Drosophila melanogaster: one gene and its partner. The protein of the gene in region 1 interacts with the protein of each later gene in a pairwise test. Each region holds a gene or a part of one and is shown in the gene's direction. Other genes may lie near its edges.

The links.
Region 2: the proteins of TpnC73F (region 1) and CG14655 interact in a two-hybrid assay, tested with the Drosophila melanogaster proteins (one large-scale study listed by BioGRID).

Annotation. Positions count from the first base shown.
Region 1 is NT_037436.4:17,041,322-17,049,063, forward strand, and holds TpnC73F (troponin C at 73F), read left to right. Parts: upstream 1-4,741; 5' UTR 4,742-4,935; coding exon 4,936-4,947; intron 4,948-5,019; coding exon 5,020-5,137; intron 5,138-5,201; coding exon 5,202-5,258; intron 5,259-6,028; coding exon 6,029-6,280; intron 6,281-6,643; coding exon 6,644-6,672; 3' UTR 6,673-7,069; downstream 7,070-7,742. Other genes in the region: scaf6 (SR-related CTD associated factor 6), read right to left, coding at 373-719, 782-952, 1,117-1,138; Papst2 (PAPS transporter 2), read left to right, coding at 1,745-2,596, 2,653-2,834, 2,897-3,053; POP5 ribonuclease P/MRP subunit, read right to left, coding at 3,159-3,338, 3,392-3,629, 3,685-3,704.
Region 2 is NT_033777.3:4,774,718-4,784,225, reverse strand, and holds CG14655 (uncharacterized protein), read left to right. Parts: upstream 1-3,923; 5' UTR 3,924-4,151; coding exon 4,152-4,607; intron 4,608-5,106; coding exon 5,107-5,716; intron 5,717-5,886; coding exon 5,887-6,398; 3' UTR 6,399-6,729; downstream 6,730-9,508. Other genes in the region: Ccdc39 (Coiled-coil domain containing protein 39), read left to right, coding at 131-1,939, 2,261-2,955; atms (antimeros), read right to left, coding at 6,787-7,362, 7,422-8,388, 8,447-8,520; CG44088 (uncharacterized protein), read left to right, coding at 9,180-9,508.

The DNA of each region.
Region 1 (7,742 bases):
GAAATCATTTAAGTCCGAAAGTATATAAGGGTTATACAAGTTATCTTCTCTCTTAAGAAAATAATTAAAAGCATTCTGGCTTAAAATCGAGGTATATTCACATTCGATTGGGTCGTTTAAAAGGGAGGTCAAAAATTCGAAGAAGCAAACACGTTCTTATATTCAGACTATAAAAGCAACTTTTAGGTGGGTATTTAGTTTAAAAAGGAAACCAATTTGCTTCTTTAAATTTTTGCCAGAGGAGGCCAACATTCAACATGAAATCATATTGAAATCTTTTCTTTATACACTCGAGCTGCTCTAATCTTTCGGAAAAAGGCTTGCAAAGGTGGGCATATAGAGGTATCCCAGTTATTTCCAACTTCAAATTACCGTGTGCTGTGCGGAGAGATTCGCTTCGGATTGCTGGATCTGTTCCCGCAGCGACTTCTGCTGCATCTTGATGGCTTCCAGTTGTGACGTTAGATTCATGGCCATGGGATTGCCATTGGCCTGCTGATTGTTTGGCGGCCCACCGTTGCCGGAGTTCGGCGGCCAGGAGTGCTGTGTTTGCTGTTGCATATTGTCTTGTGCGGTTTCGGGCGGGTGCGGTGGCTGCTGATTGGGTGGCGGATAGAGGCCCGGTGGTTGGGATTGCTGCATTGGCGGCGGATGTTGCATGTAGTGGCCGGATGGAGCACCTGGTGGCAGTTGTTGGTTAATGGCCTGTTGCTTTAGCACTGTATTGGGTGTTAAAAGGAGATTATAGGGGTTATTTTCCACCAATTTAGAACGCACTCACGAGCTTGTTCCGCTGCCACCCTGAATTGATAATAGTTGGCGAACTCCCCGCCGTAGAGGAACTCGAACTTTGGATTGTTCTGCTGCTTCTGCTTGGTTATCGCCTCGAATTCCGGCCCATTTCTGGCCACAAACTCCGCCAGTTTGTCGATAATATTTCGTAAACTGGCATCTGCAAATAGAAAGCAAATGGTTTTTGCAAAAAATGTGAGCATATCAAAGGTTGTGCGTGCGCTTGTTTGTTTGTATGTGTACACATGTGCATGCCAATCGACTTGGGCACAAAATTAGCTTGATTTTAAGTTATATTCAGCACTTTTTAATTGCTGCACTTACCGCGTGGCGGTTGCACGTCCATTTTGCGACTGTTATTAGCACTATTATCCTATGTAAAATACTAAATTCATAACTTTTTGCACTTTTTCAGCGGCACTTTTCACTGCTTCTTCTTGTTTTTTCCGACAGTGTGCCCATATCTTTGTATTCTTAGAACGACATGTAGTCAAATACTAGGAGTTACTCTCGGCACTACTTTTTAAGTAGTTTTTAGCGCTTATCATACGCTTTTTTGAGCAAAAAAGCGGCTTAAACCTTTATCGCTGCTCATTTGTTAAATGTATTTATTGCCAGTAGCAGAAGTTCCAATTAGAATGACGGTGGTAGCAGAGCTGCCAACTTGTTCCACGTTATACCGGTCTCTCTTCTATTATTACCACAACGTGGCAACGCCGCGCGTCTATCTCAGTTCTAAGCTGACAAAAATAGTTTATTTGTGGTAAACAAACATTTAGCCAGGGCAATTTGCACCCAACAGAAATCTCCACGCCGGCCCGTGATTAATGCAGCATCCGAGGAGGCATGACAAATCCGCACTTTAAACCGACAACTCCGCGGACAGCGTGGCATTGAATTACACGGGCTCCCTGGAAATATAATCTTGAAATAGCCACTATATAGTGTGTATATGTATATAGACACATCCGCTAGCAGCAGAATGACCGATAATAAGGGGAGCGTTATCACCATTAATGGCGGCGAATCGGCGGGAAACTCGCCGCCCTCGCAGCGGAAGTCCTCGACGTCGGAATCTCCGCCGGAACTCCGTATCCTTTGCTTTGACCTCACCTACTACAATCGCACAACTCAGTTCCTGCTCAGCTGCGCCGGCGTCTTCTTCCTGTACATCCTGTACGGCTATCTGCAGGAGCTGATCTTCACCGTCGAAGGATTCAAACCCTACGGATGGTTCCTCACGCTCGTCCAGTTTGGCTACTACATCGGCTTCGGTTTGGTGGAGCGGCGGCTGGAGGGCTATCGGATAAGCGGCGGTTCCTTTTGGAACATTGAGCCGGAGCCACGTTGCATTCCCATGAGAACATACCTAATTCTGGCTGCTCTCACGCTGGGTACCATGGGTCTGTCCAACTCAAGTCTCGGCTACCTGAACTATCCCACCCAGGTGATTTTCAAGTGCTGCAAGCTCATTCCCGTGCTGGTGGGCAGCATCCTCATACAGGGCAAACGCTACGGACTGCTGGACTTTGCGGCAGCCACCTGCATGTGCATCGGATTGGCCTGGTTCACGCTGGCCGACTCCCAGATGACGCCCAATTTCAATCTGCTTGGTGTGGCCATGATTTCGGGAGCGCTGCTCTGCGACGCAGCCATTGGCAATGTCCAGGAGAAGGCGATGCGGGAATTCAAGGCGCCCAGCAGTGAGGTGGTGTTCTACTCATACGGCTTGGGTTTTGTGTACCTATTTGTGATTATGCTGGTTACCGGCAACTTCTTCAGCGGCTTTGCATTCTGTTTGGAGGTGGGTAACATTTGAGGTTTATGATGTAAGAGATCTAAAGTGTATTATCCATTTAGCATCCCGTTGAGACCTTCGGCTATGGCTTCCTCTTTAGTTTGTCCGGCTATCTGGGCATTCAGTTTGTGCTGGCTCTGGTGAGGAGTAGTGGTGCCCCCATAGCTGCCACAGTGACCACCGCCCGCAAGGCTGTGACTATAGCCTTCTCCTTTGTGCTTTTCAGCAAGCCCTTTACCTTACAGTAAGTACTATTCTGTGTATTTCTAAAGACAAAGCTCTATTATACCTATCCCAAACTTTCAGATATCTGTGGTCGGGCCTCATCGTTGTCCTGGGCATATATCTCAATGTCTACAGCAAGAGGAACAAGCTGACGTTGGCCGACGTCCGGCAGAGAATAAAGCAATTTGGAGCCAAGGTTGCCCGCTCACCGAGTCGCAAATTCCTCATCGAAGTTTAGAACGATACCAAAAACACTCACATTTTAGTTGAATTGGAAGCATGGGTTTTCTATAAGAAAACCATTAAATATAATTACTTAATTACATTCTAAACAAACTATGTGCTATCTGTCCATGTCGAACTCCATTACGCGCTTGAAGAGATCCTGGCGCTCCTTGGCGGAGGTTATCTGACCCATGGTGCGGTCCAGGAACTGTTTTTGGTGCTTGACTATGAACTTGTTGCATTGGATGATGGTGGCACCAATGTACAGCGTCCTAAACTTGGCCCGTACATCTCCGATCTGAAAGAAATGTGGTTTTATAGCTGGTTTAAGGACATGGCAATGAGACCAACCAAAGTAATCAATGGCAATACGCTGGACACGAAGCGTTGGCCTCGATGGAGACAGCGTATGATTGCCATTTTCGTGCGATCGTTGATGTATTTCACTCGAAATCCCTGCTCGATCACGGCGAGGCCATAGACTCCGTAATACTTCTCCACATTCTGAAGCAGGATCTTGGTCAGGCTGTGGTCGTTGAGTCGCAGAGATTGTGTTGGCGTGTAGGGCACAATCTGCACCGCTATATACCTGTTTATGGATGGTTTAATTAATGATCGTTAAGGAAAACGCGGTCAATATTTACCTATTCTTTATGCGAACCATCGCTGTGTCATCAATATGGCAACGTCGCAGATAGTTGCCAGACCAAATTCGCTTCAACTACCGATAACGTATCGGTTTTCAAAATTCCGGAAATAGCTGTTCGGTTTTTTATGTGATAAATAAATGTTGTCTTATTGTATACGGATGAAAAAAATATTCCTCAATAAAGGATTCAGCTGTATTTAAATAAACGTTAGCTGGAAAAGACTATTTATATATCTTTATCCTTATTTGCATATCCGATATTCTCTCTAAAAAATTCAAATTTTTTTCCAAATCCAAAAGTCTTGTAATTTATTTGGAACGCTTGAATAGATAATGACCTTGTATGTTCAATATGTTTATATAGCGTGAGAACTTAGAATTTCTTATTTGGTGTATATTTTCAATCGAAAAATCAACCTTTTACTTTTTAGAAAGTCTTTTGTTCGAGTTTGATGTATTGAAAATAAATGCATGGACATACATTGTTTTCCACCCATTCACTTGTATTTTGACAATTGAACAATGGATTCGGGGAATCGGACAGAGAAACTGGCAACTTGTCGACCAATTCATGGATGTGGGCAGAACATTCCTCACTGCCGCTGCCCACGTTTCGCTCTCCGGCGACAAACGGAATGGGGGGCATTGCTCCAGTGCCAGTGGGGATTTCTCCATCTGTTCGTTGAATCTAAACACATATCTATATAATATATAGATATATATTCGCAGACTTGGGGATGCGGGGATCTCAGCGCAACGCATCGCATTATAGCTGGCTGGCGCACATATGCAGATATCGTGGCTGCCCCGTCGACGGCTCCCCATGCCGCTCCACTGGATGGGATGTGCTCCATCCAACGAGCGATCGGTGGCCGTGGAAAACCACTATACGGCTCGTGTTCAGTCTCCGGGGCAGCGAATGCGGCGGGATACGCTCCGATCGCGTTTTATTTTTGCTTTTTCCCATCGCACTTTACAGTCATTTCTAAAAAACAATAAAATTCGGGCAGCGGCGTGGAAAAACGCTACATATACTCCAACGATCCGAACATCCACCGATTGATCGGCAGCCGCATTCGTGTTTTTCCGCTTTTCCGTGGCAAGTTCACCGATTGTGGTCTATATTTTGGAAAACGCATCCGCGCAGCCTCGCAGTTGGAACGAATACTCCGTGACGATCGCTTCGCAAGATTAGGCTGATCAGACAGATCCCATTGGCAAAGATATACCCAAAAGTAGCAGCAACATGAGCAGCGTCGTAAGCATCTGAGATTTTTCCAGCTCCACAGGATTGTCGATGATTAATACCTAAATGTGTGTCCAATTCCAGGATGAAGATCTTACACCCGAGCAGATCGCCGTGCTCCAGAAGGCGTTCAACAGCTTCGATCACCAGAAGACTGGCTCCATCCCCACCGAGATGGTCGCCGACATACTGCGCCTGATGGGTGAGTTTTGGGGTTGAGGATGTCCATTTGGATGAAGGAGTACTTATTGTTTTTACAACTGCAGGTCAGCCCTTCGACAAGAAGATCCTGGAGGAACTGATCGAGGAGGTCGATGAGGACAGTAAGTAAACGCTATTTTTACAACGTATGATAGATATAGTCGAAAGTTGCTGAGTATTTCAATGATATTTTATTATATTTACAATTTTAATATGAATACAATTCAAAATAGACAACATTTGCATTTGAGTCATTGAGTCAAACTGCCAATTAAAATAATTGTGTGGCATATATTTAATTTAATTTATTTCAGTCCCCAAGTAGAACAGGGTGAAAATTCTACAAAAACTAAATGCATATAGTTATTATAAAATGAAACAAAATAAAAATGAGAAATGCATCAATAATATATATGTACACTTGTGCCGATTTCATGGATGTTTTTTTCTTTCGTTTAATCGATTTGTGTAGTTATATATACACATTTTCCTTCAACATCTATAGTCTATAATCTATAAAAATCTATCATCTAAAAAAAATATTATCTTACAATTAGAAATGAAATCAGTTTTTTAGATATTATATAGGTGTAATTATGTGCAGACTCTATGCAAAAGTGACTCTATGATCCAATAACAAAAGTGAACAAAATATAAAAAAAATAACCTTATGACAGCTGCAAGTAATAAATGTATATATTTATTGAATAAGGTTTAGCTGGCTATTACAGCAAATCACAGATGATTCACCATCGAGTGATGATTAAATTTTAGTTACTCGCTGTCATTGATTTATGATCATAGTCGTTTTGGTTGCCCCATCATTAGCCGCTGGCTTTCCAGTCGTTTTTGCAGTTAATTATAAACACTTGGAATATTTGGCACATTTCAGAGTCCGGTCGCTTGGAATTCGGCGAGTTCGTCCAGCTGGCTGCCAAGTTCATCGTGGAGGAGGATGCGGAGGCCATGCAGAAGGAGCTGCGCGAGGCGTTCCGTTTGTACGATAAGCAGGGCAATGGCTTCATTCCCACCACCTGCCTGAAGGAGATCCTCAAGGAGCTGGACGACCAGCTGACCGAACAGGAGCTGGACATTATGATCGAGGAGATCGATTCCGATGGCTCCGGTACAGTGGATTTCGATGGTGAGTGCCCATTCCGTTTGATATTAATACATTCTAGTGGCTTTCCATTCACATCCATATCCATATCCACCCACATGCATACATACATATATATGTATAGTGATCATAAATTTCGATGATCTTGAGATCGCTCGATTATGACAGCTTGATGTGATCAACGCTCCCATGGAGGAGCATATCGTTGGCTATTTTTGGGCGCGACACACAAATTCGATTCCACCACACGCATTTTTCATTCTCGGAATAACGTACATATTTACATTTTGTTTTCGTGTTTATGGAATATTTATTTATAAATGCATATAGCGGTTGCTCTGGCGCGATGGCATCGGTTTAATGTCTGTCATTTTGTTTAATTTACAGAATTCATGGAGATGATGACTGGCGAGTAAATAAACGCAATGCGTCTGCCACCCACCAACCGCCAACCCACCCTGGAAAACACCACCCACTTTCCCACCCTCCCAGAAAAAAAAAACAACACACACATGCACACTCTACACACACACACAGACGCACACGCACACCTGTTGGACACACGTTTGTTTGCTCCTGTTTGCACACTTGTTTCGCTTTTTATTTGCATTTTGCCCCAACCATTTTACCATTTTTTTTGTTTTTGTTTCGCGGAGCAAACAAATCCACGTACTTCAGTTTGACAATGCCAAACACGAGTAGAAATAGAACTTTTGTACTACTTTTTTATACTAAAAGAAGCAACGGAATACTGTGTATGCGAAAAAATAAATGTTATGCCATGGCAAAAAAAAAAAATGAAAAAAAAAAACCAAAAAACAATTCACTCTTGTTTTCATTTGTTTATGGATTATTTTTTGCCGCCAAACAAACACGTCCATATATTTCGCTTTGATAATGCGAACAAATAGAATGTACTTTGAGCACTGGAGAAATGCCATAAATCTTAATCAGTCTTGAAATATATAGAGGATTTCCCAGCACTTCTGAGTTTATTTTCCTTATATGAGTGTTATTTATACTTTCACTTATTTATACTTTTTGCCGAGCAGCAAAACTTAAAATTAATGGCTAGCCAATTAGTCATTAGCTTTCTTCACAGCGACAAATTATTGCTTATATTATTTTGTTGTCGGATTAGGGTTTCCTTCTGCCCAAGGATAAACAAAACCGCCAATTTTGATACTCGATTATATATATAGTGTACATACCTTTTGAGCAAAACAAGTGAGCTATAAAATCAATACAAACAGTTTGCTTATTTTTAGCGCAGATTTGTATTGTCTTCTAATGCTAAGGAATTTTATAAATGGTACTTGAATTTCAAGTTAAAATAATACAACTATTTATAAACTGCAAGCGCTCAAGAAACGCCCAGTGAAAGAGTTTTTATAATTATATTTCAAATATAAAAAAATTTTGTTAATTAAGAAAATGTAGTTTATGGCAATAGATTTGTTCGTTAAGTTAGTGATTAGTATAGACA
Region 2 (9,508 bases), on another chromosome or scaffold:
TAAGTCAAATGTACCCCAAGAACCAAAATGTGCAACTAACCAATTTGCTGGTTATTAAGCACACTAACCATCTATTATATATCATTTGATGATACATGTGCAATTTCCCTTTTGTTTGTCCTATGACCAGGAAAGATTTGCCAGAGCAAGCGCGAGATAGATGAGCTGACTTCCCGCATCAAGTCGGCTAAGACTACCTTGGTGGAGTGGACAGAGGCCATGGAAGACGGAAACAAGGGCTACCAGCTAATCGAAAAGTACTACCTCGATGACCAGCAAAAGGCACGGGAGCTGAACATTAAGCGTCAGCTCTTGCAGGCGGACATCGACAAGCGGCGCAAGCAGGTGGTGCTCCTCTATGACGAGCAAATGACGCTGGAGAAGAATCTGGAGCGAACCGCTTGTCTGTACAGGTCTGCCCACGCGGAACGCCGCCAGATGGTGGAGACGTGGAAGAGCGCCGTGAACCAGATGACCCAGCGAGAGCACGACATTCAGCGCAGCGAGATAGAGTGTGCGGAGCTGGCCCAGAAAGCCCAGCAGACGGCTCAGACCTACAAGGAGTACGACAACCAGCTAACCGAGGTCATCGAGAACAACCGCCAGGTGGAGCTCGCGATCGAGTCCCTCAACGAGGAAAGCTCCGACATGAAAAACCAAATCCAGATCCTGATTGATGCCACATTACTGAAGGAGCGCGAGATCGACGGACTGCGTCGGGAACTGGAGAACCTTTCGAACCGGGTTCACCTGCAGCGCATGGATAACCGTAGTCAGATGAAAAAGCGCGATGAGAAGGCCAAGGAGCTGGAGAACTTCGCTTCGGTGATGGAGAAGGTTAACGCTCGGCTGAAGTCTGTACAGAACAAGGCCCTCAATGCGGAGCAGCGGCTGCAAATTCTGGAGGAGATGATGCAGGCGGAGGAGACGGCTCTGCGAAACCTGGACAAGGAGCAGGAGAAGGTCAACGAGATGTTGTACCGCACCCAGAGGCAGGTCATCGAGCTGCAGGACGAGGAGAAGGTCTTGAAGGTGCAGAACGACTCGCTCAACTCCAACCTGGCAGCGATCAATCGCAATCAGCAGCAGGTCAATAACGAACTCAAGCGGCAGACGGAGATCCATTACAGCCTGTCCTTTAAGTGCTTGGAGGCGGAGCGGCGTCTCGCCGAGATCAAGGGTCTGGCAGATGACCCCGAGGTAGAGGCCACAAACATGGCCCGGCTTAACACTCTGGAGCAGGAGTATGAAAAGTTGCAACGCCTCATCGCCACCACGGAGGCGCAGAATAAGAAGCTAAACTATAACATGAACAACCTGGTCGTCCAGTACAACGCCGACGAGAAGGAGCTCGAAATGGTCAGGTTCAAGATTAAAGAGGCCCAGGTGTACTGCGAGGGCACCGTCAAGAGACTGCGCCAGATTCGATACGAGAATTCCGAGCTCATAGTCGACCTCAACATGGTCAAGATGCGCTGCAGCGACCTAGAGGTTGGCATCGGAGGCTGCGAGCAGGGCACCTACGACCTAGAGCAGCACCGCCTTGCCTTCCGGCGCGCCATCAAAGATCGCACCGTTGAGCTTCGCAGCCAAGAGGATGTGCTCCTCCTCAAGAAGAAGCATCTTAACGAGGAACTAAGCACCCTGCGAGCCGACCTCGGGGAGCGGAAGAAGCAGATTGAGGCGATGAAGGCGCGCTTTGAACTTACCGCCCAATTGCTAGGCAAAAACGAGGACGGCTCCATCATGACCAGCACACAGCTGAAGGTGGTGAGCGCCCAGGAACGGCAGATGCTGGCCGACGAGGGCGATGCCCTCAACAAAAAGGTTCTCAAGGCTGAGAAGGAAGTGGTCGCCCTGGAAAACACACTGCGCCAGTTCGACAAATCGAACGATAACTACCGAAAAACATTCCGATCTGTGGACGAAAACTCAAAGGGTGAGTTATAAATGACCATTCAGAGTGGAAAGGGTTACTAGTATTAGCAACATTGCTCTAATTTTGAATTTTAATAACACTCACAGATACAGATATTGAATAGGAACAAATTAGGTTTTCTGGCTCTATAAAGAATAGATATTCTTGATCAAGATCCATACCTGAGTCGATCTGGCCATTTCCGTCCGTCCGTTCCGACTTTCAGTAACTATAATAGCACATTAAGCGGTCATATTCTAGCCATGTCTACAAGCCGGGTGGCTTAGAATTGTGTAATTCAATGTTAAATTGGTAGATTTTTTCCATACTTCTAATTTCTAGATCGCGAGCGGGCCGAACTGGAGCTGAAGGAACTTGAGGCGGCCTACTGCCGCGAGCTGGAAAAACTGAAGGTTCTCAGGTGCAAGGCACAGCACTACCAGCAGAAGCACGCAGCCCAGCGAGCTGAGGAGGAAGACCTGATTTCCAAAATAGAGAAGGCGAAGGCTAGTCGGGCGGAGCACTCTGCAGTTCTGGAGAAGATCGAGCGCGAACTAGATGACCAGCGAATGAAGCTGGACAGGGCCAATCGAGAGATCCGGACACAGTTGCGGGAGATCAAGGCGCGGCCCTTTAGCGAGGAGTACCTGGCGCAGTTCGAGCGGGATCTGTCTCTACAGGAGCTGGAGGCGCGTAACACCAAGGCGCTGAACATGATCACCGATCTGGCGAACAGCGACGAGAGCGGCACGGATATAATTGGAATCCTCTTGCGAAAAGGAATCAAGTTGCCGATGCACCTGAAGCGCACGTGCAGCCGCGTGTCCTGGAACAGCAGCTCCTCGGGCAAGTCCTCGCAGGGTCAGGACACCGCCTCCTACCTCAATGTTAAGGGCAAGAAGTTCTCCTGCGACGGGGCTAGTGCCCGGTCCTCCGTCTCCGACATGAGCTCCCTTAAGGATGACACATCCTCCACAACCTCCCACTCCGGACTGAGCATCATATCGCTTGAGTTGCCCTTGCCGAAGAAAAAATAATAGTCTAAAATATATTTATTTATTATTCCGTTCGATATCCGATGATCTCAACCCGTATGCTCGTATCTTCACGTGTTGGCATCGCAGTGTTTACAAATTGACCATCTAAACGAAACAGCGAATAAAATGCGTTGCCCAAGCGGGTCAAAACAAGAGAGCATCGCGGCCATAAAAATAGCACACAGCGATTCAGTGGGGGTATAGCTCGGTGCACATACACATAGGCGGACAAATGTGTGTGTCTAGGCGATTGCTTGTTTAAATCGCTGAATAGTAAATACTCTACAAAAGTATTACACAAAATATGTATATTAGCTACCACCTTTGGTGTGGGTTTTGTATTGGTTTTGATCAGATCTCAAGTAAGCTCATTACAGCATTAAGATTTAGACGGATATGCTAATTCAATCTGAAATACTCAATCTTCGTATTTTCCTAATAAAGAAATATATATAATAATAATATTTTCTCAGTTCTTATTTACGAAAATGAAACGAATGATTTTCACTGGTCCGAAACTAAAATCGAAAGAAGAAATCTCCAATAAGAGTACATATTAATGTGTTTACTTTTTATGGAGTGCTTAAAAAATGGAGCGACAATTGCAGTAACCAACCATATTCCAATTGGATATTGGCGGAAAAGCCAATTATTAAACCAATCTGGCGATAATGATAGATCTCTAGATAAGTCCCGCAAATCGCATGTGGTCATCTCAGCGAATTGCTCCTGCGCATCGTGCGTTACAAAGACTAGAACGAAGGCTATATGGCCGCCAGTGCAACATATATCGGCCAGAAATAATTCTACATACATATAGTATATAGCCGTGCTCAGAGCTATATTTCGAAATGAGCTACCCAGAGACACGGAGAAAAGAGACTGCCTTGTTCGAGAGATGGGATTTCGGTGCTGCGAGTGTTTCCGAAAGTCTTCTTGACGATTCGACGATCCGCGCCGGGCATTTCATTATTTTTCATTATTTCGTTAGCTGGCATCGGTGCCGAGAAGTCAGATTGCTGGGCCCAAAGTTTTCAAAAATCTTCACTTGCTGATATTTTTAGAAAATTTTGAAAGCAGAAAGACTAGGCAGTCTGGGAATGGACTCCTGAATAGATGATCACAGACCGAACAGGAGGATAATCCCAATAGGAGGTGAAGCATTTGCATAAGATTCGATTGAGTGCACTGGCGAAATGTGTTCCACCTCGGTGCTGTGTCCGCTCTGCGCGGTGCCCAGTTTCGGCAGTATTGACGCACTGCAGCAGAGGCTGATCAAGGCGGCCAACGGCCCACTGGCCTGTCCCTTTGCCAACTGCAAGGAGCTCTTCCTGGGGCTGGACAAGCTCACCATCCACCTGTTCTCGCACACAAGTCTGATGGCTCAGGAGGGAAACGAGAGTCCAGCGAATGGCCAACCCGCCTCGTCCCGGGGCTTCCTTGCCGCAGCTCCTCCCAAACGGAGGGCCAAGCGAACCAGGTCCAAGCCCGTCGTCCCAACCCCACCGCCTGTGCGGACCACCCCGCCCGCCCACTGCGACATTTGCGAGTTCAGTTTCCGGAATACCGAGCTGAGGGACATGCACGTCCGCTTAGTCCACGAAAATGCGGAGGGAGAACCCAAGCAAAAGGAACCCCAACAGAAGGAACCGGTAACTATTGGCTATGTACATATATTAAGTGCTATTATCTAAAGAGTTTCGTAATGCACTTTCGCATATTCTTATATCGATTTTGATTTTTTTTTTCTATGCTCACTGGCAGCAAAAAAAAATCATACTTAAAAAGCTAGACCATTTACATTGAATCTGAAACAAAAGTTTGACGTAATTAAAATCAACAACAACAAGAAAGAAATCTATATACCCTTATATTTTAAAAACAACTGATGTATGTACGTATATCGTTCCCATTATTTTCAATTAATTTTTCAACTGTTCATATGACTATGTATATATATGATAGATATTAATTTGTTTTTGATCAATTTAAAACCATGGCAACTTTGTGATATAGTGAATGAAAGTGAATGATTTTTGTGCATAAATTTGAAACTGAGAGACAGACGGTAATGTAATGGAATATTTGGCCATGAGGGCATATTGATGAATTGATAAATATAAGTGAAATTCCGATTATTGCTTTATACAGGACCAGGAGCCCTACAAGTGCCATCTCTGCTCCAAGACGTTCCGAATGAAGGGCTCCCTTCGAATCCACCTGAAAGTAGTGCACATGATGGGCGTGCCCTGCTCCAATCCCAATCCAAATCCTAATCCCAGTCCTACACCCGCTTCTACCACCAGTGCAGTTACTGCCACGCCCAAGCTGAGCATTTGCGATCGCATTCGACACACAGAGCCTGGAGCCCTTGGCAACGGAAATAACTCCACGTGCACCGCATCCCAGCCATACGCGCTGAGTGGGGCGCTGAGCATGCTCCAGCAGTCCCCCAGTTCGCCGGAGTCGGGCACGGCCACCCCGAAGCTGTGGGAGTGCGATGTGTGCAGCAAGTCCTTCACCACCAAGTACTTTCTGAAGAAGCACAAGCGGCTCCACACCGGCGAGATGCCGTACACATGCGAGATCTGCGCCAGGACCTTCACCTTCCAGCAGTCGTACCACAAGCATTTGCTCTACCACAGCGAGGTAAAGCCCCATGTCTGCGGGGTTTGTGGACGCGCCTTCAAGGAACTGTCTACGCTGCATAACCACCAGAGGATTCACAGCGGCGAAAAGCCCTTCAAGTGCGAAGTCTGCGGTGAGTATCGATCAAACCCCTTAATTAGCCGCCCCTTATTTTGTTAGCCAGCTTATAAATGAGCATACTCCATTGCGATTTGCCCTATTTACTTTAAATGAAGGAGAGGTATACCTTCTTTTCCGGGTCACTCCATGTCTAACCTTTTCGTATTTCGGACTCGTCCACAGGCAAGTGTTTCCGGCAGCGAGTCTCTTTCCTTGTCCACACGCGCATCCACACGGGAGTGATGCCCTACAAGTGCGAGCTCTGCCAAAAGACGTTCAGGTACAAGGTCAGTCAAAGGACCCATCGATGTCCCACCGAGGAGGCCCAGACACCGGAGCAGCTGATAAAGGCGTTCCTGGAGGGCAACGACTCGCATACTCAGCCTTCACCAGCGAGCGCCGAAATAGCTGCCATCAACAGCAGCTCCATTGTGGATCCTGAGCAGGAGGCACTGCTTTCGCAGTCAATCGACGACATTGTCGTTGAGCAGTGCCAAAAGCTGGGCATCTGTGGTGTGGAGCCGCGGGAGGAGGGACAGCTCATATCCCTACAGCCGGTTGCGGTGGTACACTTCAGCGGGAATGGCTCTCCGCTGCAGCAACTCCAGAACTTGAGAATCTACTCACCGCAACAAACAGAGCTACCTAGTTCCGATGGCGAAGTCTTCCAGCGCTTTTTGATGGACGCCACGTAGTTGGAACGAAGATGCATATATCCACTTAATTTATACCCTTTTATATCATTTTACATTGTTTGCACTTCCCCAAAGGCGATCTAATCAATTCCTAAGCACCCCCTAAGAAAAACGTCTTAATTACATCTTCTTATGAGGATATTATTTGAATCTTAGTTGTTTTATCTCAGCCAAGTGTAAATCGACTAGGACCCGACTTGTTTGCAATACAACAACAACATCTAATATAAATTATGTTAAACTGCCGATTTTATTTAAAACTATTCTGGGCAACGAACCCGAGCGCTGAGTTGAGGCGAAAATGATATTAAATCGAGTTAGTTCAGTTTTCAAATGTACTTGGTTGATTATAAACTTATTTATTATGAACGCCGTTTTTTGTAATTAATCATTCATCTGAGGCGCTTCCAGAGCTGGATCCTGAACCAGAAGGCGAGCCACTGCGAGACCGGCTGGGCGATCGCGACCCAGAGCCAGATCTGGAGCCCGAACGTGATCGGGAACCGGACTTGGATCTCGACCTAGAACGCGACCGAGAGCCGGACTTGGAACGGGATCGGGAACGTGATACCGATCTCGATCTGGATCCGGATTTCTGGGATCCTGCCGGCGAATTTGTGCGTGATCTGGAGCCGCTACCAGACCGAGAACCAGACTTTGAGCGGCTGCTGGCCCGAGAGCCGGAGCCAGATCCAGATCCTGAACTGGACCCGCTGCGAGTTCGACTCCGAGAACGAGACTGTCGATCGCGGGCTACCTGGGCGGGTGAGTCCGCTCCAGATGCTGCCTGTGCGCCAACAGCTGCGTCCTCGCTCGTCTTCTCCGTCTCGCCAATGATTTGCATTTGCTCCTCTTCCCTCACTTCTTCCACGATCTCCTCCTCCTCGCCAGGAACTTCTAGCTGGCGCTCGCGATAGCGCTGCATACGATGCTCCATGCTGTCCAATGGACGATGCTTGACAACCTGGTAGAAATAATACAAAGTAAAGCTCGCTATAGATGTATGCGCATAAATATACTTACCAGCTTGGTGTTGTTGGGTTGCTGGCCAACCTTAACGCGACGCTTGTTAAGGCGCACACGGGTTTCTAGCTCGTTGTAGTAGATGCCGTCCTGACGCATCACGAAGAAGTAGTTTTCTTCGTAGCCCTTGGAAGCTTTGGTCTTCACGTTCCAGTTGTACTCTCGAGCGATCTTGTACTCGTACTCCTCCTCCTCCTTGTACAGCTCGCCATTGATGAAGTCTGTACGGCGTTTCTCCAGCGTCTGCTCTGTGGGCAGGAAGTAGGCGACAAACTGTTCGCCGCTCTCGTCCATCACACCACGAATCATGGCCTGCGACATCTCCTCCAGCTGGGCGGGCACGTTCTTGCCCGCAGGAGCGGGATCACTGTCAAATATGACCTGGGCGCACGGGAACTTCCAGTTGGTGAAGTCGGGGAAGATAGGCAGTACCTCCACTGGCACCACATTGGGCTTGGAATAGTGCTTGGTAATTTCGCTCTTGGTGTCGCTGAAGGTCTTCTCGATGGCTTTGATCTGGGCTTCGCGGTCCAGGTAGAGAGTCTCCTCCCGAAGCGACTTCTTGACGTTGTAACCGACCTTGGCCTCGATGTTCTCCAGGTTCTGGGGCTGGAAGCGCGTCTGCTCGGTGGAGATGTACTCGGATTTGCGCAACCATGACACCGTCCTCGAATGCTGGCGCGAACGCACAGAGTCTGTGGGCGTCAGAGTCTCCTCCTCCAGCAGTTTTTCATCGGCGGGGTCCAGCAGCGTCATGGAGTCGGCCTGATAGAGCTCCCGGTTAATCAGGTCCACCGTGACACCCAAATCGTGTTCCGTCAGCACGTCATACTTGAAGTTACGCTCTAGCGACGTTGGGTTGTACTGCACGAAGCGGTGGCTGTCGAAGGGGTACTGCAGAAACTTCAGATCAAATGGTATATCCGGCAGGTTGTTTCCATACTTCACGCGGCAAATGATCTCGGATCTGCAAGGTACACATCAGTCTGAGTATCTGGCGTCTGTTTAGGGATCTGTTCACTTACTTGCGCTCCGTTTGCCGCTGGGGTCGCTTTTCGGCGGCACTGTTTACCGCCGAATTGTTGATCGTGGGTGGCATTGTGTCTTCCAACAGGTAATTCAACTCAAGCCCCAGTTTTGGTAGCGCTTCTAGTCCATCAAGAGGCCAAATCTAGAAATCCTCAAATCTGCGCTTGGCAGTGTGACCGTACTTGACCGGTACGATAATACCTTCGGTAAAAAAAATACTATATTTCCGGGGACTCAAATGCAACATCCTCATCGTATATAACACAACATCTATTTGAATTTCATTTCCACAACTAATATTATGGATAATGCTTTATTATCATTTTCCAAGTTAGCGATAAATCACCCCACAAGCTGAAAAATCAACGTTTAAAAACGATTGATATTTTTTTTAATACTTTTTGGTTTTACTATTTGAATTTTTGTATACTTTTAGATTTTACTATTTTAATTTTTCGTTTCTTCTAGCTGACTAACGGGTAAAAAAGGATCCGATCCTGATTACGAACGGCTACCAGAAATGATTAGTATATAAATGATATATGTATATAAAGTACTGGATAATAGAAAAGCTCCCACAATGCTCCCAAAAATGCTCTCAGTGTTTGTTCGAATTTATCGCCCCATCATCCATAAGCCATCTAATTTCCAATAAGTCACAGATCATTATCGCTGTTTATTTTCATTTTCTTTCAATAATATCCAATCTATATCTGTCTGTAACGAAACATGTCTAGTTTCCTTTTGGTTATTTTCATTTTATTGGCGCTTAGAACGTCAGAGTCTTCTGAAACTGGAAACCCACTTGCAAACGAGCCCGATCCATTATATATGAAACTGGTGGATCCCATGGTAGCAGGAGAATCACCTAAAAGGATGATTAAGGATCAGAAAGATGTAGGCCTTAAATCAACTAGCAGTAGCGAAGAGCTCCGAAAATTGCCAAAAACGCGAGGTCGACAGAAGAGATTCATTCGGAATCCAAACTATGTGAAAGCTAACGAATTCTATGATAAGATGTTAAGCAGTGAATACGTAAGTAAGCGGTATAAGGATCT